2 linked regions of the Lytechinus pictus genome follow. Each later gene encodes a partner of the first gene's protein in a complex. Links are inferred from orthologs where the notes say so. Each region holds a gene or a part of one and is shown in the gene's direction. Other genes may lie near its edges.

The links.
Region 2: DNA-directed RNA polymerase III subunit RPC2-like (region 1) and DNA-directed RNA polymerase III subunit RPC6-like share a complex: the UniProt entries of both Drosophila melanogaster proteins name them as parts of the RNA polymerase III (Pol III) complex. The link is inferred for Lytechinus pictus from reciprocal best matches to the Drosophila melanogaster genes Polr3B and Polr3F.

What each region holds. Positions count from the first base shown.
Region 1 is NC_087250.1:6,006,851-6,019,232, reverse strand, and holds the start of DNA-directed RNA polymerase III subunit RPC2-like, read left to right. Parts: upstream 1-6,273; 5' UTR 6,274-6,359; intron 6,360-8,939; 5' UTR 8,940-8,951; coding exon 8,952-9,004; intron 9,005-9,526; coding exon 9,527-9,703; intron 9,704-10,748; coding exon 10,749-10,958; intron 10,959-12,354; coding exon 12,355-12,382. UniProt on the Drosophila melanogaster protein: DNA-dependent RNA polymerase catalyzes the transcription of DNA into RNA using the four ribonucleoside triphosphates as substrates. Second largest core component of RNA polymerase III which synthesizes small RNAs, such as 5S rRNA and tRNAs.
Region 2 is NC_087251.1:35,558,290-35,571,623, reverse strand, and holds the start of DNA-directed RNA polymerase III subunit RPC6-like, read left to right. Parts: upstream 1-8,648; 5' UTR 8,649-8,739; coding exon of another isoform or gene 8,740-8,772; 5' UTR 8,773-8,871; coding exon 8,872-8,924; exon of another isoform or gene 8,925-9,059; intron 9,060-11,226; coding exon 11,227-11,344; intron 11,345-11,602; coding exon 11,603-11,670; intron 11,671-12,023; coding exon 12,024-12,204; intron 12,205-12,614; coding exon 12,615-12,758; intron 12,759-13,334. Other genes in the region: histone acetyltransferase KAT5-like, read right to left, coding at 1,272-1,495, 1,975-2,043, 8,588-8,648, 8,740-8,772. UniProt on the Drosophila melanogaster protein: DNA-dependent RNA polymerase catalyzes the transcription of DNA into RNA using the four ribonucleoside triphosphates as substrates. Specific peripheric component of RNA polymerase III which synthesizes small RNAs, such as 5S rRNA and tRNAs.

The sequences.
Region 1 (12,382 bases):
ATGTATAATCTATTTATAACTTTAATAATGTTTAATCGGTACTCACCGGTTCTTTTGTTGCATTTTCAGACCATTTCTCACAATTCTTCGTAAATATTTGCGGCAAATTTTGTCGCCATAGACAGCTTAGCGTCCATCTTTATTGATAAATGGAGCGCCCTTTACGATAGTTGTTAATGCCGCGGATAAATCGTTAGGCATTTTGGCCTGTGTTCAAGGCGTTCTTTCTGTTTTATTTTTTATATTGAAGATTGTGCATTTGTTGAATAGCGCCGTCTACGTCAGGTATGAGATCGAGTGTATAAATACACTCTTCCAAAATAATTATGATTCCGACCTGGCGCTGTTTAACTTCAATCTCTTTCACCTAAATTAGCGATGAATGCTAGCATTATAAAATATATATTATTAACGTCTGACGAAAAGAATAACCAACCGATCAGCTGACGAGAACGCGAATCACGTGATCTTCATATCAGCTTCGATCGCGAGTCAGAAGAGAAGAGCAGCTGCCCAGAAAATCAGGAAAAAGCCGTGAAAATGTAAGTTCCCCTTCATTTCTTTCATTTTTTGTTGTTGCTAACGATGCATTTACACTATAAAATTATAATTTAAATAAGAGAAAGGAATATAGCTTGTACTTGTGATATAATTGCCTAAATATCCTGTTCTCAGAGATTTCTAACCAAAAATACTACTGATGTCGCCTATGAGGTCCATACATGTAATGTTGGACCTCATTGGTACTAGGAGTGGTACCAATGAGGTCCAAACATTACATGTATGGACCTCATAGGCGACATCTGTAGTATTTTGTGTCAGAAATCTTTGTGAAGATGATTATTTGTGTATTATAACACAAGTACGAGCTATCGTACTGTCTATTCATTAAATTTTTGTTTAAGAAAGTTAAAGCATTGTTAGCAATAAAAAAAATTGAAAGAAATGAAGGGGAACTTACATTTTGACGACTTTTTCCAGATTTTATTGCCAGTTGCTCTTCACGTCTGACTCGCGATCGAAGCTGATATGCAGATCACGTGATACGCGTTCTCGTCAGCTGATCGGTTGGTTATTCTTTTCGCCAGACGTTGATAATTATATATTTCATAATGCTAGCATTCATCGCAAATTTAGGTAAAAGAGATTGAATTTAAACAGCGCAAGCTTTAATTTTCTCAAAAATAACATTTAATTGATTGCACAAGTTTCGCCTTGGAACAAGTAGGATCATTTGGTCCCATGTTTGCGTAACTACGGGGGGGGGGGGGGGCGGGGTGTCCCTACCACTATACACCCACTAGCCAGCAATTATCGTTTTTTCTCTTTTTTTTAAACCAAAATACCTCCCCCCCCCAAAAAAAAAAAAATAAAAAATAAAAAAAAAATAGGGTTAAAGAGAAAGAGAATTGAGGAACACAATATGCTTTATTTTTTCCTCTTTTACTGTTTAACGAGACTTGTAATCAAATATTAAATGGGGCTTAATTAGAACAGCCTTTTTTAAGTCAATTAATAAAAAATATTCCTCCTCGGGATTTGAGCTTTCATGAAATATGAATCTTTTTCATGACTACCGAAAGCGCTAAAAATGTCCAAATTTTTAATTGGTATATAAAGCTTTAGCTCATGCGTTGCGCCCGTCTTATTTTAATGTTATACAATTTTATGCTTTTAATGAATTTCTAATTCTCAGATCTTGTCACAATCCGATTGGTAACTATAATGAATGATTATTATGTTTCATGAATTGTTCAAAATGTGTCTCTCTATCAGTTTTGAATATTAAAAAAAATGTCAGCTCATGCTTTTTGCTCGCAATATTTTGATTAGTAAGAATTTCTTCTCTTGTATATGCGAGTTTGAGTAAATAACTAGAGAGGGGGGGGGGGGGGTCCCTCACCTACTTGTCCTCGCTTATTCCCAATTTTTTTTATATTATACTCGTGTTCAGAGTGTTTCAAAGTCTTTTCTGATTTTTTTTACACTTTTTATTGTCTCGGAGCTTCCCTCTATTTCTTTTAACTATGATGTAGCCCTTTTTACTTGTTTCAATTCTTTTATGTCTCATTTCATTGAAAACATAATTATTAAACTGACTGACTTTATTACAAAATTTTGATATTATTTTGTCTTGTTTGTTTGGCTTTCTTTTTTTCTTCTTATCCTTCTTCTTACTTTTTCCATTTCCTTATTTTCTCTTTTATTTCATTTCATGAGGCATCCGCCAACTTATATACAACAACAACAAACATATTTATTTGGTGGTGTGCCCCTCTAAAAAGGGAGGAAAATAGGAAGGAAAAAAAGAAGAAGGGAAGGGGAAAAAAAAAGAAAAAAAAAGAAAGATGATGATGATGAAAATTATCTTGGTGATGATGATGGGTTGGTGATGGTGGCGGTGATGATGATGATGATGATGATGATGATGATGATAATGATGGTGGTAGTGGTGATGATGATGAGAATGAAGTTGGTGATGATGGTGATGATGAAGACTAGATGTAATTTTGTTATTTTGTCTTTGAAAAAATTAAGTAGTGCATAGGTGAATTTATTTAAAGTTAATTATGAAAATAGCAGAAAAAATAATTTGAAAAATTGGTATGCGTTCAGGAAAAATCCATCCCCCACCAAAAAAAAATTAAAGGTGAGATTTTTTAAATAATTATTTGTGACGGCGTAGGCCTTTGCGAGCAGCTATATCGGATATAATTATGGTAAAAAGTAAATGAAATGTCAAGAAATACGTGATAATGACTTTTATTGTACATTCAGTATATCAATAGATAACTTCATACTCTCTCCAAAAAGAAAAAAGTGGGTCATTACGGACCATTAAAAATGGGAAATTTTTGCATTTTGTATTACATAGAATATTGAGCAACTGCTCGTTTATGACGTCACAAATCAAGCATTCGAAATTCTACTAACTCCATTTTTTTTTAATAACACCTTCACCGATGTTTTGAAATTATTTTTATTTGGCCTATATTTTCACAATCTTTTTATCAAGGTGAAATTCCCCTTTACAAAACAGTATCCACATGATCAGTGTGTAGCGGTAAATTATTCACCTGATAACTATAGACCTATCTATAATTCATGCGGCTATGTTTAATAATATATTGCTGTGAATAGAATGAATGTCATTAAAAACATAATCTCACTGATCACTAATGCCAGCTCGACGCGCGAACTGAAAAAATATATTTTCTGCCCCGATAATTTGATAACCCTAACCTAACCCAATTTCTAAGTATTTTTATCATAAACAGGATAACTATAGACAATTAATTGAAAACTTGATATTCTTTTGCGAAAATGAATATGAAGGACAACTTTTTAATAAAGAACACAGTTTTAGAGCGTGATTTATATATACAACCGCCTAATCCTGTCACTGTCGGTATGACATGAAGCAGTTGGAACTTTCTGATTCCATCAGCTTAATAATTTTTGCAACAGGCGCCAGTCCAACAAACAGACAGACATTTGCCCAAACAGACAACATCTCAACCTCTGCTCATTTCTTTTTGCACGGACACATAAAATCTCGACCTACCCATCACTTTTCTCACTATTTTCTCCTCCCTTTTATTTTCCATTAATTTTTCTTTCGTTCACTTTTTTTCTGTCCTCTTTTTCCTTCTATTTTTTTTTCTCGTCTCACCGCTTTTCCTCATCCCCCAGCCCCCGACGCCCACGCAGATTCGCAAACAATATCAAGTGTACTGTTAGGCAAGGGCGGAAATCTCTCCCTAAAGGTAGCCGGGACCAGGGGCTGGAAAATTTGACAAGAAAAAAACAAACAAACAAAAACAAAAAAGAAGGTTTATCACCCCAAAAAGAAGGTCATCTTGACCAAAAGAAATTTGATAAGCAAACAAGCAAAAAAAAAGGGCACCCCAAAAGTAAGATTGTCTCTTCCAAAATACATATTTTATTTCGATTTTGAATGATAAGACCCAAAATAGTAGGGGGATGACATTTCATAATGTGTCCCCCTACTATTCTAGGTGAGGGGGACATGTTCCCCTGGAATTTGCGCCCCTGTGGGTGGGGGGTGTTGCGCCTCCCTTTCGGAATCATTATGGAAGAGTGTAAATACTCGCTGTGATTTCGATCTCATACCTATAAAAAAAAAATAGAACAGCTACGCCTTGAACACAGGCCAAAATGCCTAACGATTTCTCCGCGGCATTAACAACTATCGTAAAGGGCGCTCCATTTATCAATAAAGATGGATGTTAAGCTGTCTATGGCGACAAAATTTGCCGCAGATATTTACGAAGAATTGTGAGAAATGGTCTGAAAATGCAACAAAAGAACCAGTGAGTACCGATTAAACATTATCAATTTATTTAATAGAACATATTTCATGACTACAATGTAACAATTTCTCGATAATATTGCTTAGTTCTAAGCTAGGGCGGCCCAAATGCACGTGAGTGGAGTCCCAGTTTATTAGCACGGGTAAGTATTGGGGTGTCGCCTAGAGTGTTTGTAGGGTGTCTGATGCCACACTGAAAAGTGTCAGCATAAGACAGGCTGATTTAGGGGAAAATGTGGCACATTTTTTTCGGGAAGTTCAGGCTACTAGAAAAACGTGGGCATGTGATCTGAATTGATGATTAACTTGTGTTTGGCATGTATGGAAAGAGAAAATTCAGGGGCTTCTTTTGACAGGAAGGACAAGTTTATATGATCATTTGAATTACGGATTTTGAAATAAATTGCAAACCCTTATTTATTTTTGTGTGTGTTGAGATTGCCATTTCCCCATGCGTTTTCTATGGGAAAATGAAATTTCTGTTTTGCACAATTTTTTCACTTTGTCGCAATTTTTCAATGTGATCTGGTTTCCAAATCTTTATAAAAATCATACCATCAGAAAGAGCATAAAAAATCCTATTGGACTCTTTATGGACAAGTTTTTGGCATTAATAATAAATTTATAACAGCTCTCGGAAGCTAAAAATTTGGATTTGTGTGTGTCCATTTCTTAACTACACAGTCTATGGCATTTGTTGTTGTTGTTGTTGTTCGTTTTGGGCCTGTTTCACGCCCTAGTAGTCTCCTCGGTAGACACTTAGTGTTGAGAACTCAAAGGTAGAAAAACTGCTAGGTAATTGTTTTGTTGGCTAGTTTGGCTAGATGTTAGCGCTGGTGGATGAGACAAATGCTACCACCGATGCTCTAATTATAGATTGCATTTGCTTGGTCATTGCAGGGTTGAAGCCCAGGAGGGTGACCACCGAGTCTATGGCAGAGAAATGCTGAAAATTGACCTAATTTCATTCTTCTTTTTTGTAGCCAATAATCAGATTTTTTTCAAAAATGTTACATTTCTGTCAGGCTGAAGGTCATTTCTCTTCAAATTCACAAAGAAAATGTGATATTTTCTTGAAATAAGAAAAATAATATTTTTCTCCAGACACCCTAATGATTGGTTTTTTGACACAGCTCAGTTTTAATTTTAGTCAGTATTCATTTTAACCCAGGAGCTCACCGTGTATTTACCCATACTCACGGGACAAGGGTAGATTATGGTCAAAATATCTAGCAAGATAAATTGTGAAAACAGAAATTATGCACTTACCACGATTATAATATAATGGATGAAGGTCTAGTCTATCGAGTGGTAGAATCCTGACATCGAGGCACAGACTGGAACCTCAAAAAACAGAAAAGTTCTCTCCTTCTACCCCAGTCTCGATCGGCCATCGAGACTGGGGTAGAAGGAGAGAACTTTTTGTTTTTTTGAGGTTCCAGTCTCAAGTCAGCTATGTACATAGGCAGTGGCCCGCGCAACTGGGGGTGGGGGTGGAGGCTAGTTGGGCTTTATCCCTCCCCCTCCCCCACTTAAAAATAAACTTTGTACAAAATAGTGAAAGTTACCATCTGGTTTTACCACAACTTTTGACATAGCACCCCCACCCCCAGTTTCAAACCATTCCGCTGCCCCTACTTGGGTTATATCAGTAAGCACAAGAAAGGGTCACAAGTCATGCATAAAGTCATTCACAATTTTTTACGAAAAACCCACCAGGTGAGCGTTTTATGAAAGACCATGTCGGACGTTTTATCCGACAGTTATCACAGTGACAGTGCTTCTCAGCCAATCAAAATCAAGAAAAGTTCTGACAACATGTCGGATGAAAATATTAATGAAACACTCCCCTGGCCTCTGTAGCATAAAACGTTAGTGACCATTTACCAGACACTCTGATGATGTTTCATTGTATCTTTAATTTTTTTTTTCAAAGGATAAATGGAAGCTTCTTCCGGCCTTCCTGAAGGTGAGAGGGTTGGTCCGCCAGCATATTGACTCGTTCAACTACTTCATTAATGTGGAGGTAAGTATTTGAACGCATACATTCGTAATTCTGAAGCTTTGTTATTCCAAAGGTTCGTTACTCCAAAGGTTCGTATTTCCGAAGGTTCGTAATTCTGAAGGTTCGTTAGGCCGAAAACGAAATAAGGTTCGTAATTCCGAAGGTTTGTTAGTCCGAAAACGAAGTGAGGTTTGTAATTCCGAAGGTTCGTTATTCCGAAAACGAAATGAGGTTCGTAATTCCGAAGGTTCGTTAGTCCGAAAACGAAATGATTAACGAACCTTATTTCGTTTTCGGACAAACAAACCTTCGGAACAACGAACCTTATTTCGTTTTTAGATTAACGAACCTTCGGAACAACGAACCATATTTCGTTTTCGGATTAATGAATCTTCGGAACATCGAACCTTATTTCGTTTTCGGATTATCGAACCTTCGGAATAACGCCACAAATGTTCGGATTAATGAACCCTTTTACGTTTTCGGCTTAACGAATATCGAGGTATAGGCAATTTTTTTCTGGGGGGGGTGGGAGGCTTTATCTGGCTCTTGAGCCAATTTAAAGGACAAGTTTAAAGCAACCAAAAAAAGTTGATTTGAATAAAAAGGAAAAAATTCAACAAGCACAATACTAAAAATTTCATCAAAATCGGATGTAAAATGAGAAAGTTATGACATTTTAAACTTTTGCTTAATTTCACGAAATAATTATATGCACATCCTGGTCAGTATGCAAATGAGGGACTGATGACGTCATCCATTACTATTTTTTTTGTATTTTATTACATGAAAAATTAAATATTATAATTTTCTCCTCATTGTTAGGTGAAACAACAGTTAATTCCTCACTGAGCAGGTGGAATTAGCATTGATTATTACTATATGGTTCAGTCAAGTTGGTCCTAATTGTCAAATCTGTAAAAAATGAAATATATAATTCAAACAATAAAAGCAAAAATTGTGAGTGAGGGACATCATCAACTGTTTCATTTGCAGGTCACTGAATTGTGCATATCACTGTTCTGTGAAAAAATAAACAAAAGTTTCAAATGTCATAATTTTCTATTTTACATCCGCTTTTGATGAAATTTTCAGCGTTATGGGAGTTAATTTTTCTCAATTAATTCATATCAACATTTTTGGGGGTGGACCTGACCTTTAAAGGAAACAGAGCTGCCAAGTAGTACTGGTCTTCAGTATTTCGTACTGAAAAATGAGAAGAATACTGGTGATTTCATGCAAAACACTGATTTCTAAAGTTTCAGTTTTATGGTTCTTCCTGTAGACTGGTATATATTTCTTTCAAATAACCCAAAATACTGATTTTCAGCTATACAAAATACTGTAATGTTCTTGTTCAGGTTGGCAGCTCTGAAGGGCTACTCTAAACTGAATAAAAGAAATGATTTCAACAGATAAGGTAAAATCAGATATAAAAGTCCTGAAAATATCATCCAATTTGGACAAGGATTAAGAAGTTTATGAAACTTTTAACAAGTAGGCTTGTGTCGAAACAGAAAAATCAAAGAATACGAACAAAGAAAGTTTGAGAAAAATCGGACAAATAATAAGAAAGTTATGAGCATTTGAATATTACAATCTCTAATGCTACAAGGAAGTGTGATGTCACACATGAACAACTTTCCCTTTGATGGACTATGAAATACCCTGAAAATGTGTCTTTTTGCTTTTTCGTATGGTTATACAAACTCTTTATCCATGATGTATTCTTTAAAAATCTGTTTTACATGCCCACCTACAGAAAGAATAAATGTTCTACTGATAGATGTAATAAAAGAGGCAATTTAAGTGAAATATATACTAAAGTAATGGGGAGAGATGTTCAAGAGTGACATCACACATCTTTGTCGCATTGCCAATGTGAGGATCTCCATAGCATTAGTGATCGCAATATTCAAAAGCTCATAACTTTCTCATTATTTGTCTGATTTTTCTCAAACTTTCGTTGATCCGTTTCTTTGATTTTTCTGTTTTCACACAAGCTATCTTGTTCCAAAGGTTTCATTCTCCTTTAAAGTTTGCATTTTTTTATGAGCAAGGTGAGATTATCATATCCCCATGTAGGCCTCTATTCTTGTTTTATTTATTCATTTATATTTGTGTTTATTTATTCATTTATTCTCATTCACATTTACTTTATTTATTTATATGTTTGTTTATCTATTTATTTATTTTTCATTTATTTGTTTATTTATTCAATTATTCATTTATTCATTCATATTCATTATTCATTTAGTATTATACTATTTTCAAGTTTCAAGTTTTTTTTTCAAGTTTCATTTATTTCTCCTCAAGAGATCAAGATAAAAATACATAAAAAATAGACAATGTAAGTACAATGAACATCAACTTTAAAGAAAGTGAGGAAGGTAATGACCAAAAAGGATGAAACCTTGTGTGAGACCAACCCATAACAACAATTGTACTTAAAGAAATCTTAAAAACATCATATAATCACAAATTCAATGAGAAAAAAAAACAAAAAAAAAAAACACCTAACTAAACCTTAACCGAATGAGAATGGGGGGGGGGGAACCAAAAATAAATCTAAGACTTATTATTTGTTTATTACATTTACAGATCAAGAAGATAATGAAAGCAAATGAGAAGATTACCAGTGATGCTGACCAAACTTTCTACATGAAGTGAGTACTATGTCATAAAGACATACAATTATCATAGTCATTATCATCACAACCAGTGAGCAGTTTATCATATGATTGACTTTTGATTTATCAGCTAGCAATATTCTTAGTACGTAGAATATATACTTGATTGTTTACTTTCATCATGAGATCTTTTAGTAGCCCCCGTGCCCGTCTTACAAAGAGTTGCGATTGATCTGATCATTCGCAAGTATGGAAAGCCAGTTAAGTAAATATGTAAAATGCATGTTCAAAAATTTTTGCTAGATATGATGTATATTCATAGATTCATTGACTTCTTGACAATATGGTGTGTTCTCCTTTGTTTACAACTTTTGTAAATTTTCTGTTGAAAAAATTATGACACTGATGGATTTCCATAGAGTTACGATTGATTGGATCAATCGTAACTTTTTGTAAGACGGGGCCAAAATCTCACGCATACAGTTCTTACAAATTCCCCTGGTAATGTGCATTATCCCTACACCATTCTCCAAGGTCTTTTTTTTCTTTCATCCACAGGTACTTAAACATTTACGTTGGTAGCCCGGACGTCGAGGAGAGTTTCAACATCACCAAGCCAACCTCTCCGCATGAGTGTCGTCTACGTGACATGACTTACTCCGCCCCCATCACTGTCGACATAGAGTACACACGAGGGCAGCAGAGGGTTATCAGAAATAACTTGCCGATCGGAAGGTATTTTTTATTAACATTGATTATAGAATTCTGTAATCCCCATAGGCGTTTTCCAGGGGCCATTTCACAATTACTGTTGTAGCTTTGACTTTATTGGTAATTACCATGGTAACAGGGCTCAACACCATTGGATGAAAATCAACATTGCCATAATTAATTGTAAATGTTTATGATATGAGCCTCTGGACCCTTGTTCATTTTGGAAAACACAACAATAAATCATTAATATGTCAAATTTATATCTTATTCCTGATTATGCTTTAGAGGTCTGATTGCGTACTGACTAGCAAGTCTCAGGCCAAGTTGGCCAAAATCAACAAATGCCTTCTTGACCCTTCCACTTTTGAAAACATTGCAGTTGTGAAAATTAATTTTATCTCTTATTCCTGCAGAATGCTGATCATGCTGCGAAAATCCAATTGTGTGCTGACTGGCAAGTTTTAGGCCAAGCCGGCCAAACTGAACGAGTGCCCTCTTGACCGGGGGTTGTTTTCCCTCCTAAAAACACATGATTGCAATCAAACTTAAAAATCAATTATATCTGTTATTCCCACAGAATGCCGATCATGCTGCGAAGCTCCAATTGTGTGCTGACCGGCAAGTCTCAGGCTGAGCTGGCCTAACTGGACGAGTGCCCTCTTGACCAGGGGTTGTTTTCCCTCAGGCTCTTAAAAACACATGATTGCAATCAAACTTAAAGATCAATTATATCTGTTATTTCCACAGAATGCCGATCATGCTGCGAAGCTCCAGTTGCATGCTGACTGGCAAGTCTGAGGCCGAGCTGGCATAACTGGACGAGTGCCCTCTTGACCAGGGGTTGTTTTCCCTCTTAAAAACACATGATTGCAATCAAACTTAAAAATCAATTATTCCTGCAGAATGCCGATCATGCTGAGGAGCTCCAATTGCGTGCTGACCGGCAAGTCTCAGGCCGAGCTGGCCAAACTGAACGAGTGCCCTCTTGACCTTGGAATGTTTTCCCTCCTAAAAACACATAATTGCAATCAAACTTAAAAATCAATTTCATCTATTATTCTTACAGGATGCCGATCATGCTGAGGAGCTCCAATTGCGTGCTGACCGGCAAATCTCAGGCCGAGCTGGCCAAACTGAACGAGTGCCCTCTTGACCCTGGGGGCTACTTCATCGTCCGAGGGACAGAAAAGGTCATCCTGATCCAAGAACAGCTCTCAAAGAACAGGATGATAGTGGAAGTGGATCGGAAAGGCATTGTGTCCTGCAATGTAACCAGGTAGGCTTTTGCATGTGTATTGTCAATATTGCTCAATGGCCCTGGTTTCACAAGAGAGAATACAATTGGAAATTATATCAAACCAATTATCATATTTCAGTTTGAACTGCTGTAAAAAAATCTGACAAATATTACGATATGAGGAAATTGTATTTAGCCTTTTAAAGCTGTGACAATTAATGATGACACTTAATTGCACTAACGCATGTCACTGTCATATAATTCCAATTCATTTATAAAAGAAAAATATGAATGTGTATGTCCTGAAGCAGTTACTACAATGTATGTAAGGAAATGAAATGTTTTATTGGATAAACTTTGAGATTTTACATCAAATTAAAATATATGCATATTTCTGTTTTTATCTAAAGGACAAGTCCAGCCCAACAAAAGTTGATTTGAATAAAAAGAGAAAAATCCAACAAGAATAACACTGAAAATTTCATCAAAATAGGATGTAAAATAAGAAAGGTATGACATTTTAAAGTTTTGCTCAATTTCACAAAACAGTTATATGCACATCCTGGCTGGTATGCAAATGAGAAGTCTATGACGTCATCCACTCACTATTTCTTTTGTATTTCATTATATGAAATATTCTAATTTTCTCCTCAATGTCAAGTGAGACAACGATTAATTCCTCCCTGAACATTTGGAATTAGTATTGTTTAATACTATATGGTTCAGTGAAGTTGGTCCTTATTGTCAAATCTATAAACAATGAAATATTGTATAATTAAAACAATAAAAAACAAAAAAATATAGTGAGTGATGGACATCATTGACTGACTCACCTAGTTGTGCATATCACTGTTTGTGAAAAATTCGAGAAACTTTAAAATGTCATAACTTTCTTATTTTACATCCGATTTTGATGAAATTTTCAGCACTATGCTAGTTTGACTTTTCTCTATTTATTCAAGTCAGTATTTTCCTGGGGTGGACTTGACCTTTAATACAAAAGCACTGTTCAAACATAGAACCTGCTGAAAATGTTATGATATAGGCCTACATGTAATCTCTGTCTATAGCTGCTATAGCTGACTAATATGTAATTAATAATAAAGATTATAATGTAAGTGCTGTAAGGGACTCGATTTCATGAAAATAACATCAAAACAAACTATAAGTTTAATTCTCATTGTTGAAAAAAAAATCAATGGCCACTAAACTTTTGGTGACAATGTTTACTACTTTCAGGCCTCAACTCATTTACTGTTTAAAGTTAAAACATGATTATTTATTTTTGGTTTAATTGACAAGATATAGAGCATTAAAGACTATTGCTATGTGTTTGAGGTTGACAAAGTAATTTGAAACCCCATCATAAGACAATGGTTCAGTCCCAAAATTGAGTATCTTAATCATTTCCTGTTGTATGTTTCTTTTTTTTTAGTTCTACGCACGAGAGGAAAAGTCGCACT
Region 2 (13,334 bases), on another chromosome or scaffold:
TGCCTCAAAACTGCTAATTTTTTATTCACAGACTCTTTGTAGGATCACGATCAAATGTACTTCAAAAAGAATTTGGTATTGCAATTTTTTTCTTATAAAAATGTATTTTATTGTTTTTAAAATTTATTATGTACATGTATTTCTTTCTTTGTTTTGATGGAAATTGTTGCAGACTCAATTCTGATCATAAACAAGACAAAATAAATTAACTTTAATCAGTAAAAGTAGAAATAATGATACATTCATTGATTTTGGCTAAATACACAATTTGCATTGGATTTGTAAATGAATTCACGTTTTTGAGCAGTTTTGGTTCTGACATGCACTTACATACATGTAATGTCGCGTAATTTTGTAACCGCGTACCAGGGCATTGCAAATTTAGTCTCAAAAGTTGCGCGAGATCTGAAGGTAAAAAGTCAGAGAGCGGCGTGGTTGAAAAATTTCGCGCGGCGGATTAATCGTGAAAAATGTTGAGGGGGGGGGCGGATTCCGTCCCCCTGGGTCTTTTAGGGTTAAATAGACTAACTTTATTTAAGGGTGTACAGAGGAAAATTACAGTACTCAAGCATCATAATCTATATAAAACTTGAGGTCCACCCTCAGGACAAATAGCAAAATGAAATAAAGCAGACCACTAAAGTGTAACAACAAGTGGAGCGTTGTGGCCCAGTGGATTAGTCTTCTGACTTTGAAACAGAGGGTCGTGGTTTCGAATCCCAGCCATTGCGTAATTTCCTTCAGCAAGAAATTTATCCACATTGTGCTGCACTCAACCCAGGTGAGGTGAATGGGTACCCGGTAGAAAGAAATTCCTTGAACGCTTGAGCGCATAGGCAGCCCAGCTAAAGCCGGGGTAATAATAATAGCAGGACCCACTGGGAGAACAGTTTTCAGAACTGAAGTGGCTTCCCTGGGTAAATATACCTATATTATTATTATTATTAATTACGCAATCAATGACACTGGAAGAAAACTTTTCAGTAATTGGCAAAATATACATGGCACACGTTGTTTACATTACCCATATGAGAAATGATAAGGATAAGTCTCCGCCGAGGCCCGGCGTCCGGGGTTAATTGAATCCATTGAAATCCTTTGGGCTTGGCAAGGCGTTTATAGACATTTTCTTGGTGTAGTAAATGGGTAAATTTGATATCATTATCAATATTTTTTTCTTTTCTTCGCCTGTTTATTTTTTTCAAAGAAAGTCTTTATTCAATATTGTTAACTTGAAACTACGAAACATAGTTACACAGATGCACACTTACATGTACCACAATCGGAGCAGATGGAGGCACCGTTGGGGGCGGTGTTGGTGCAGCAAGGGCTGGTGTGGCGAGGGCAGGTAGCTCCCTCTCAGGGGTAGATGCCCTGGAGCTACAGTTCGGTGTAAGGACCTCCTTCTGTGGAGTTTTGACTTCTTTATGCGGCATCTGGAGCTTCTCCAGGTTGAGCCTATCCAGAGTGACCCAGTCATCAAGACGCTTGTTGTCTGTAAGGCGAACAAGTAGGTCAATTAATGATGGTTGTGAAAGCTGTCAAGTATCTTTATTTCATAAACTTTTATACAATGTCTGAAGCTGCTTGCTGCAGAACAGAATGTACACACAAATAATATACATGCACTAACCCTTACATTTTCAAGGAGCTTTTATTGTGTATCTAATAACCGTTTTAAGAATGACTTCTTCAATTAACAGAGCTTAAATTCATCCAAGGTCAAGGCCTTGGATGTGGTATTTAATGGCTTCAATGCCACTTTCGCTGTACTTTGATATTTTTTTTGCCCTTTTTATTTTCCCCATCTGTGCTGAATTATAAAAATTGGCCCTTTTGAAAGGTGACTTTGCCCTAATGATATCAAAATTTAAGGGCTGAATTAGCATTGATAGACATTACATAATAAACTAGGGAGAAAAGGGTGCTTTTCATGATTGCACATCTCTACATCCCCAAAATCAAATCACTTACAGTCGATGTAATGGACGTAAAACAAGACTCCATCATCTGTGTCCTTGCGACTTATTATCTCTCCAAGTGCTGCATATAAAAGATAGTAAAGATTAAGAAAATGAAATGAAATAATTGAAAATAATCCTAATAGTAGTCTCCTTCTGTTATACATGTACATAGAAAAATACTTTATTGTCAAAACATAATGGAAAAAAGATTAAAGAGCTTGCTTTACAGACATACATGTAAGTAACTGCATGTAAAAAAATGTCTTGCTCTTCCTAAACAATTTATTCCAGTGCTTTTGCAATAAATCAGATTTTGATAATCATTTTGTCAAAACATGCCAAGTGATTAGTATCATTTTTTTTACAGGTTCAAATCCTGTCTAAAGCTTTGGCAAAGGGTCAGTAATGTGAATTAGAGTCAATTATCATATAATCTTCCAACATTACAAAAGCAGATCTCGTCATTTAATCTGTTTTCAGCTCTAAGAATTTAAATTCAGAATGTTTTCTTAAGTAGGTATGTGACTATCGCGCGATGTGATCTCAATATTACGGCACCGGCACCGGTTTCAAAACGAGCTTGGGTTGCTCTGTAAGGGGTGGCTTTAAATGGGTGTAGATTTGGCGATTTCTAGCCAATTTGGCCTATTTTCACTGATGACGTAGCTGAAAAAAATCCCCTTCGCCTCGATGTCAAATTTTGAAGATCGGACGCATGGAAGTTGGATTTGGCTCATGTGAAAGTCTAATGTTGTCTTCACCATCGTGACCGGCCCTGAAGGTAAGTTTTGACAGTTTTTAAACCTATTTTAACAGCTTGTTCATATATTTTTCTTGGTGTGTGGTGAATATAAATCGAATCTAAAAATCCGATCATTTATTTTTTACATCCTAAAAATTGATTGTCAGAAATAGCAAACTGCCACGAGAGTTGCGTGCTACACGAGCATCATGATGAGTGCTGTGTCGCCGGGAGCCGTGGCATGGGTGCACCAGCTCAGAGGGGTTATGCTAGCAGTTTGTGCATCGCATTGATTGAATTATTATTTGCTTTTGTGATCTAGAGTCTACTTGTTTATATTTATATTATTAGTTATTACATCCTTTGATGAATATGAATATACACATTACACAATTTTAGCTTGTTTTCAGTATTTTGTTGTAAGATAAATTGGATAATTGGGATGTCATTTATCATTTATTTAGGCAAACTTAGCCTGAGGTCACCCAAGAAAAAAAAAAAAATAATAACATAATTCTAGGTCCTGCATTGAATCATGTGCTCATACACAGTTTAATTATAGATTATAAAAGATATTATGTTTGTTACTGATATATATAAGAGTAGAAACTGACATCAAAATTTTGTTCAATAAAAACATCTGTTAAAGCGACCAAAAACTGGCAAACACTGGTTGACGCCATCTTTTCCCATTTACTCATATACACTGTTTTAGCCCACACGGGGTGCGTCGGACTAGCGCACGGGCGTGTGTCGAAAAATGTTACGTACGAGTGAATGGAGGAAGACGTAGATGGCGTCAACCAATGTTCGCCAGTTTCTGGTTGCTTTAATTATAGGCCCAGATTTTTTTTTTTTTTGCAGCAGTGAGATTTGAATTTCATTCTGAAAGTTTTATTTAGAAGATGTGTTGTTGCAGAAGTTCCTGTAAAAAAATCCAAACAATAAGGAAATTATATAAGTTTGTATGTGTTCGGTAATGAGTTTATGAACAATTTATATATCAATTTACTAATTGATAATTAATAATTACATTGATCTATTATTAAGACAAATATTGATATCCTTTCTCATCACCTGTTTTTTACTCAGTTTTATACTTAGAGTAAAATGAATAATTTGTATAATAAAAAAATAAAAAAAAATTTGGGTCACGGTCGGTCACACATTTTGAATGGTCGCAATGGTAAGACAATGTCAGACTCAATGGCAAAGCCAAGCTTTGCCAAACCCAAAGGCAATAATAGGCACTTCAGGTGAAAATTAGAAAAGGCTATTCCAGCATATTTTATAGGCTCACAATGAGGCTCAATATCTATGATTCACAAAACTGTTTGAATTTTCAAATTCCGATATCTAGAAGTCAAGTTATTGTCATCTTTGTGATGAAAAAACAGGGCTTTTTGTGGACAAAAGAAGATTGCGAAATCTTATTATTCTCTTTGTTTTGGGCATGGCACATTTATAATACATAGCTTATGGGGAATTGTACAAGCTTTTTATTTAAATCTTAAAGTACTCAGATTGATTTGACATACATGTATTGGCATATGATTTCTTTGGTTCAAGGGCAACTACCCCTGGACGATAACCCCCACCCCCGGACAATTCCCCTCCCCCACCCTGGACAATTACCCCCCCCCCGGACAACTACACTGTAGTCTGTACCCCTATCCAAAAATCTACACCTAACCTAATCCTATTTCGGGGGTAATTGCCCTGTGGTAGGTTTGTGCACAGGGTAAACATGACTTGATATTGATTTTCTTTGCTTGAACATTAAAAATTAAGTTTTCAATGAATATTATTTGTAATCAAAGAAAGAGAATTAAAGTAATAATCTTAGGATTTCTATCAAAAAATAAAAACAGATTGATTTCAATTGTCTATTATCTCATTATTGTCTTGTTATTGTGGTCTCAATAAAATTGTTGATATTATTGTCTTTTCATCGTTTCATTATTGTCCCAATTATTATTATAATTATAATAATTATTATTATCATGATAATTATTTTTGTTTCATTAATATTATTTTCTAAATAATGATTACAATTATAATTACTATCATTATAGTAATATTTGATCATTAGAGTAATTATTGTTATAATTATTTCATAATAATAATCATTATTGAAATAATAATTATTATTGTCTCAATAATTATAAGGCCTTAAATTATAATTATGATTATTTTTATAATTACAATTATAATAATTTTTATAATAATAATCATTATTGATGACTTATCAATATTACTGTCTCAGTAATTATTACAAGTACAATTACTTTCATTATAATTGTTATCATTATAATTATTTTATGATAATTATTATTATTGTAATAATAGTTATTATTGTCTCAATAATTATAAGGCCTTTAATTAGAATTTTGATTATTTTTATAATCATAATATTTTTATAATAATAATTATTGATGACCTTTCAATATTACTGTCTCAGTAATTATTACAATTATAATTACTTTCATTATAATTGTTATCATTATAATCATTTTATAATAATTATAATTATTGTAATAATAGTTATTATTGTCTCAATAATTATAATTACTATAATCATAATTATTTCTACAATTATATTTATTTTAATTATAAATAAGTATTACTATTATAATGATTATTATTGATATCTCATTAATATTATTGTCTCAGTAATTATTACAATTCAAATTACATCATTATAATTGTTATCATTACAATTATTTTATTATAATAATGATTACTGTAATAATTATTATTGTCAATAAATACTAGAATTGATGTCTCATTAACATTGTCTCAATTATTACAATTATAATTATTATCATTATGATTATAATTGTTATCATTATAATCATAATAATTATTATTGTAATAATAATTATTATAATTGTCTCAATAAATTATTGTCTCATAATGTCTCATCATCTCTGTTGCCTCATTATTGTCTTCTCTTATTTTTTCATAATATCTTCAAAATAATATTTAACACCATAACAAAGGTCCATAAATCAGATATCAAATTCATGAAACTCATCTCATGTATCTAAACCTATTTCTAAATTAAATTCATGAAAGGAGCTTTCTGTGCCATTCAAAAATACGACTTTCATTAACAATACCATATTCTAGACATTCAGACGCATTGCAACAAAAAAATCACTTATCAAACAAAATTCTTGAAGTTTACTTGCAGTTTTGCTCTTAATACTTATTTCACACGAATTCTACAAAATTATTTTCAAAATAACAATTTGATTTTCATAATTAACAGAGCTCAAATCGTAATTAAAAAAAATATACAACGGCTGAAACATACCGTGTCTGAATACCAAGACTAATCTCAGGCCCAACGCAGTGGGGATGACGTCACTTACAGCTGTTCGTATACGCTCAAAACAACCCTGCTCGATCGGCCGAGTCAGATTCACAAACACCTCATGACACTCAAAACTGAAGCTCATATCCGCAGGCTCTCTACGGACCAAATTTAATTAGAATTTAACAAAATGTTCTCAAATATACAATTTTATTACTGACCGAGTTTACAAGAGATCCGATGATTACAAGAAGGTGATTTCAAGCAAAGAAAAATAAATACCTGAATATTAGGTCCTTCCCTCGCATGAAGGTAAGTGATACTCCATCTTATATATTTCCGATGTTTACCGAAGATGTACAAAGCAACCGCGGGAATTTTTGACCAATCACAATCAGCGGAATAAAGGAAGAAACTGACTCTGTCTTTTCGAGCAATGCCGAATGCAACTCCAGCGCTCGGCCAAAGTGTCGAGCGGAGCGAACTGTGTGTGTTAGATATGCGCTCGCCATTCACTGCAATGCAAAAATCTACGTCTAGCGCTGTGTCCGCGCAATCGCCCGCCTGGCTGAAGTGTCTAGGCCTAGCAATAATTAAATCAGATTTTTAATATTTAAAAAATCATAACTCTCTTAATATTTGGCCTAGAGTAATGGTTAATAATACCATTTTAAATGTTTTTTTCAGCCCTTTCCAATGAGCTAGGTTACAATGTAATTCCATGATTTTTATTTTTTTTGTCACATATATGGCAGTATGTCCAAACTTCGCGCGTGTCCATACTTCGCGGACGGTCATTATTTAAAAAACTAGCCAATATCCTTAAAATCTGACATCATCAACGTGAAAAGCGACCTAAAAGTACCCTATAGTGAAAATTTCTTTAGGATGAGTTCAGTATTCATGAAAATATTGGCAAAAGATCGGCAAATTTGCCACCGCTAGCGCCCGTTTTGAAGAAATCAACAAGCATCACGATATCACCATTTTGCAAGCAGAAATCATAAAAAATGTGAGTTAAATGTGGTACTAACCGATTCCATAGCATTTTGCCATCAATCTGATATAAATATTTCACTTTTTTAGCTTGATTTTTTGTTTAAATCTCCACAAAAGCTTTGGTGCGCGAAGTTAGGTCACACTTTTTCTGAACGGTTTTCCAGCACAGCCCGCATTCGCCGATCGGAATAGAATTTTGAGATCGCGATACCGGCGAAACCCCTTGACTAGACAGGAATAACCGTCGTTTCTGGGGATTTATTCAACAATTTCTGACATTTTACTGTAATCCCCATTTACCGACGGTAGGGTGTACGTGTGGGCTCGCATGTGTTCTCATTCCCTCCCTTTTGTCAATTCACAGTCCAAAGTTTGATGTAATTTTACACATCGAATTTACAATCTAAGGATGTATAAACAACAAACTTGTAAAATTTAATATTTTAATATTTAAATACTTTAAACGATATAGATGAAAAAGGCATGAAAAATATACTTTACCGATGTTTAATTGGGTTGAACACGATAAAAATGGTCAAAATGGCAGCCAAACTATAAAATATTTACAAACGAACGTCAACAATCACGAATGTGATATCGATATTGCTTTCGATATTATACGATCTGCTCCATATGCGATCGAAACCGAAGATAAACGATACTAGTTATACTAGTACTAGTACTAGTTATAATCGCGATATATCGATTCGAGACATTAAGTTTATAACGATAATGACGTCATTCAAGATGGCAACTTGCAAGAAAAACCGTCAGGTCAGGTGAAAATGTCTTAGATGACAGATTTCTCAATCATCCAGAGGATTTTTTTCAATAACTCCGGCCCAAGGTATGCAATTACTAAATTTATTCATATTTCCCTGATAATGGAAACCATGATGAAACTTTCAATTTTGCTTAAAAAACAGTTTTAAATCGCGATCTATAAAACGCTAGTTCACTATACGTTGGCTGTAGGTACGGGGCCCCATCCCCTTCAGTCTATGTATGGTGAGTGGAGCCAACGTAGTTCAGCGGAACAACCAAAATACAGAGACTGAAGCTTTTGGTCTACCCCTTGACCTACTTTACATTTTCGTCCATGATTTTATAGTTTACGATCTTGCCGTCAATGTGGTAACTATTTCTTGAATTGGTTTTGTATAAATTATGAATATTTTGTGAACAAAAATAAGCCTGATGAATATTTTTGAAAAGTGCGCGAAGTTTGGACACCCCATCATACCTATCTTAAAGACTTAGCATGTTATTGTTAAGGCTTAAGCATCCTCTTTTTTGGCAAATTGGCAATGTTTTTATTTTTATTTAAAATGCTCTTTTAGCACTTACATGTACATGCACTTTACATATTTAGTTGGATATTACAAAGATTTTGAAAAATATTATGTCCTTAAATCCTTGGTCCATTTCATGGTTGAGAAGGGACGTGACTTTATAAACAAGACATAGGGCCTAGGTAAATAAATACAAAGAAATTTCACCAATATAGCAAACGCAAAAGTCAACACATGGGACCAAAATGAAATAAATCCAAAGAGAACTTACGCCACTCATCCGTTTGCTTCATTCTTACAGGCATGCGGCATCCTTCAACCACCAGATCTTCCTGAAAAGAAAATTAGAGTTGCGATTATAAGTTCAAATAAATAGGGCACAATAAAAATTTAAAAGAATTAATAAAAACGAGCAAAACTCACAGTTTTTATCGATGAATCATTATTTTCCGCCATTTTGTTTGTGTGTTTTCTCTCAAAATTACTCCACTGCCGACGGCTTGTCCAAAAAAATTTTCTTGTCCAACTCCAAGAAAGAAGCACAGATAAAGTAAAATGAGTGCAGGAGAAAAGAAGGAATCACCAGATGCTATGAATCTAGAGGAGAGGTATGAGCCGTATCATATATGCATTTTAGATCGATTTTTTTTTCTAATTTTGCATTATATGTTTAAATTTTTGTTTTTTTCTAGCCAAAAAGGTCGTGCTTCACTTCAGTCCCACCTGATGTCTGTTTTGTTTGCTCTGGTTTTGGAAGTTTGTAGTTGTAATATAGTCACGTATTGTATTAATACCGGACACTATTATGATTCCGGACGCGCATATTACTGCGTTCTAAAACAAATTCGTACCGTAAAACTTCCGCAATTCAATTTCACAGAGCAATACATAGAACAAGATTGCAAAAACAAGGCGAAAAATCCAACTTTTACCTAATTATCTCTCAAAATGACAGAAAATGCTTAAAAGTTAAAATATCATATTATAACATAGTTTTGTATTAACAATTGATGTATTTTCTAACGGAAATATGGGCCTGATTTGCCGAATTTCAATCTCGTCCACTCCTTCGATCGAATGATGAGGTGTGGTGTATTGTGGGTGATCGTCGATGGCTAGTTCTCAAGGTACCCGTGCGCGAGGTTTACCGTGAGTAGAGCCGTCGATCGGCAGCGCATCGATAGAACTTGATGAGCGTCACGATATGATACGAACGCGAGCATATTATTATTGGAAAGTGCCATGGAACATGCAGCTAACAAGACAAAATAAAATAAGTTATCAAACACGAATTTATTACCAACATCTGCTCAGATTCGATATAAAAAAGCAAATAATACTTAGAATTTACTCATGATATGATATAAGAAGAAAAAAATCACACAAATTTGCTCTTACATCATTATAATCAAGGATATCTTTACCCGTCCGGCGCGCGTCCGGAATCATGATGTAATTTGTCGCGCACGAAAATAATTGTTTTTCATGGAGGGGTATGCGGCAACTGCGATGCAAAGAAAATGGTTGGTAAATATAATTATAAAATAATTTTATCATATTCATAATTTTCATAATATTTGGAATAGCAAGTGTGATTTTTTCTTGATTGTATTTCCTCTAGTTGTCATTTTTAAAGCACTGAAATAAAGGTGTCCGGCAATAGGATACACTGCCATACAGCTAGTATTGCTATTTTCAATTTCACATTCATATAAAAATTAAAACATATTGGCCCGTATTCTGAAGTCGGGTTTAACTTAAACTCAGGTTTTAAGTTGTGGTTTAAGTATGGTAAGCCAATGGTTACATAAATCACTATTAACAGTAGAGATATCATATTTCAGCTCATTTGGCTCTCAAATCATTCATAATCCTGATAATTGTCTAGGAAGTATAAAATTAAAATTGATTGTCTTCATCATCGATGAATCAGGAAAGAGCACAGTAAACATACAAAACATACAACTTAATAAACATTTTGACACTTTTGGCTTCCCATAATTTTAGCACAGAGTTAGACCGTCCATGGTCTAAGTTAAACCTGACTTCAGAATACGGGCCATTAGATTTTTGGAAAAGTACCGGTAGTCATAATGTTCTTTTGATATGAAGGAAACGGACACGAAAACTTAAACTTTTGTTGTCACTTGTTTTTTTTGTTGCTATTTATGAATTTTGCCCTTTTCTGTGTAAAAAAATGTTGGACTGGAGTCCAGTCCTGGAGGCTGGACCTGGAATCTGGATTGTGAAAGTTGCATTGCAGTTGCAATGAAATTATCTAAATTATAAGACCACTTCTAGTACCAATGAGGTCAAAAGTGACTCAAAACGTAACCTATTGACCTCATAGTCAACAATCGTACATATATGGGGAGGTGCACTTGTAGAAAGTCGCCTCCCGTGGCAGTACACAAATGCATGACGACTAGTTTTTTTTTTCGTTTAGATATGAACTTCCTTGAGTGAAATTATTATTGTTTATTGCAATTTAGATATTACAAATTATATCTAAGGTAAAACTTTTTATTAAATATCTGTGGATTTTGTACAATGGTACTTGAAAGTCTTACTACGCTGGCAGCTTTTTTCAACCTTTTTTTAGGTCCCAAAGACTCCCACTCACTGCCTCCTACTAGTCCTAGAGTGTATAAGACTAGAATAAAATACAGTCAGTGTCACTTAATCTCTCTCTTTTAGTCCAGGCAGATAATTTGGCATTATTTGATTTGAAGGCTTATTTATTTTGCTGTCAATACCTGACATAGTCACTTTTTTATAAATGTGAATTTGAAACAGTTGATTTTCCATTATTTTGAATTTACATTGTATCTCAAGACATTATGGTCTATCTCATCAACAGTAACCAATTAATTTGAACTTTTGTAATCTGTTTTCTTGTTCAAATTACAGAATCCTGGAACTATGTAAAGGAGAATCAGATGGTATTCGAGATTCGGCTATTCAGAAGCAACTTCCAAACATTGATGCTCAACAGAGAGTATCGGCTGTCAACAGACTTCTTTCATCAGTGAGTTTCTTTTTTCACCCCCCCTCCCCCGCGAAGGTGGTTGTCAGAGGCATTCATTATATTTTGGAGTCATTGTGTTGCTAATCTGAGAATATATTCTCAGTTAAGCAACACAATGACTCCAAAAGGTATACCTTCAAAGGTATACCTTCAAAATAAATATGAAAAACATAATTTTGATTCAGTAATTCCTATTTGTTTACAATTCAGAGCATATTTGATGAAGAAATCTAATTTGCATCCTTTTCTTTTATCTAGGGTAAAATAGACTTGGTGAAGACAAGCACTGAATTGCTGTACCGTTTGAAGGATCCTGGTGTTGTAAGGTAATTTCCATTCATTATTCCTTGAAATGAATGAACTTAAGTGTCACTATTTGACTTGGACCAATGCTGTCATTTCCTGGTAATTCGTATAAGGGTTTCATGTGATAAATGAAATATTTGGTCGATGCAGAAAAGACTGGTTTATTGTAACTTGTTATTAATGGGAGGGGGGGGGGGGGTGAATACTTAGCCAGGATTCAAATCTGCATTGAAAATGTATCTTATCATTTGATAAATGAAGATGTATACAACGTGATAGCTGTCATCATCATTTTATTATATGAGAACTATTATTTTATGTTATATGTTAAAATTTTGTTAAATGATTACTGTTGCTTATATTATTTTTGTAGTAAAATCAAAGGAGCTGATAATCAGGAACGTCTTGTATATCAGATCATCGAGCAATCAGGCAACAAGGGAATATGGACACGAGATATCCGATTAAAGAGCAATCTACAACTAACTCAACTCAACAAGATTCTGAAGAATTTAGAGAGTAGGAAACTCATCAAGGCTGTCAAGTCTGTTGGGGTAGGTGTTTATTAACCTTTTGGTATGCTAATGTTGACATTTTGCTCATGCAATCTATTGCAATGATTAGTTTTCTCCCTTATCTTTAAGCTGGATAAGCTAATAAATGTCTATAGCCCCTGGATAGCATATGTGCATTATTATTCTGTATCAGTGGTGCAGTATGGAAATCTAGATTCAAACAAAATATCACAAATATAATCAGTCATAGTAGCTGACCAGTTTTAGACGACATAAATTACTATAGGGCCTGTTAGGTCAAAGTAGAGACCATGGCCAAGCAGGTACTGGAACTCAAAACCACGCAAGTCCAATGCTCTAACCACTAGACCATGATATGATCCATATTATGGGTTGGATTATGAAAAAAATTGTACATTCCACAAATTTTCCCTTCATTTAAAATCCAGGCAGCAAGGAAAAAGGCATACATGCTCTTTAATCTGACCCCTGACCCCTCAGTGACCGGCGGAACATGGTATAGTGATCAGGAGTTCGAGTCAGAATTTGTAGAAGTCCTGAACCAACAGTGCTTCAAGTTTCTTCAACAAAAGGTTTGTTTGCTCTCCTGCAGCAATCTGTTTATTTTAGTAATTGAACTTCACTTCCAACAATGTCTTGCTTTTTTTGTGAGAGGGGAAAAAGGTAAGCCTCATACAATTTAGACTTTTGAAAAGGCTCCATCATGGACATAATTGTGTTTGTTCAGGATTACACAGCAACAACGAAAATGGCTGAGTGGCATTTCTTTTTAAAGTTTTTATTTGAATCCTGATATGCTGTAATTCATCATGATGTCATCCCTTTGAAATCCACCTTGTAAACATCCAGCAAACAAAACATTTTCAGAATGTTTAAGAAATGATTGTGGACATTCAAGCAACGTTTTCAAAATGTGTCAAGGCTTTGAAAACTGTTTGGACATTTTGAAAACTTTTTAACGATAGATTTTTTTTTTCTTCAAATCAATTCAACACATTTGATAAAAAATAATCACAAGTCAGGAGATAATTTACAATTTTGTGTTAACCACTTGACTGCTATAGGCTGTAATGCGCACTGACCCCCCTTGTGCTACTGAATGGGACTAACAAGTTGGATCTATTTGGGACGACAACCGACAGCAACTT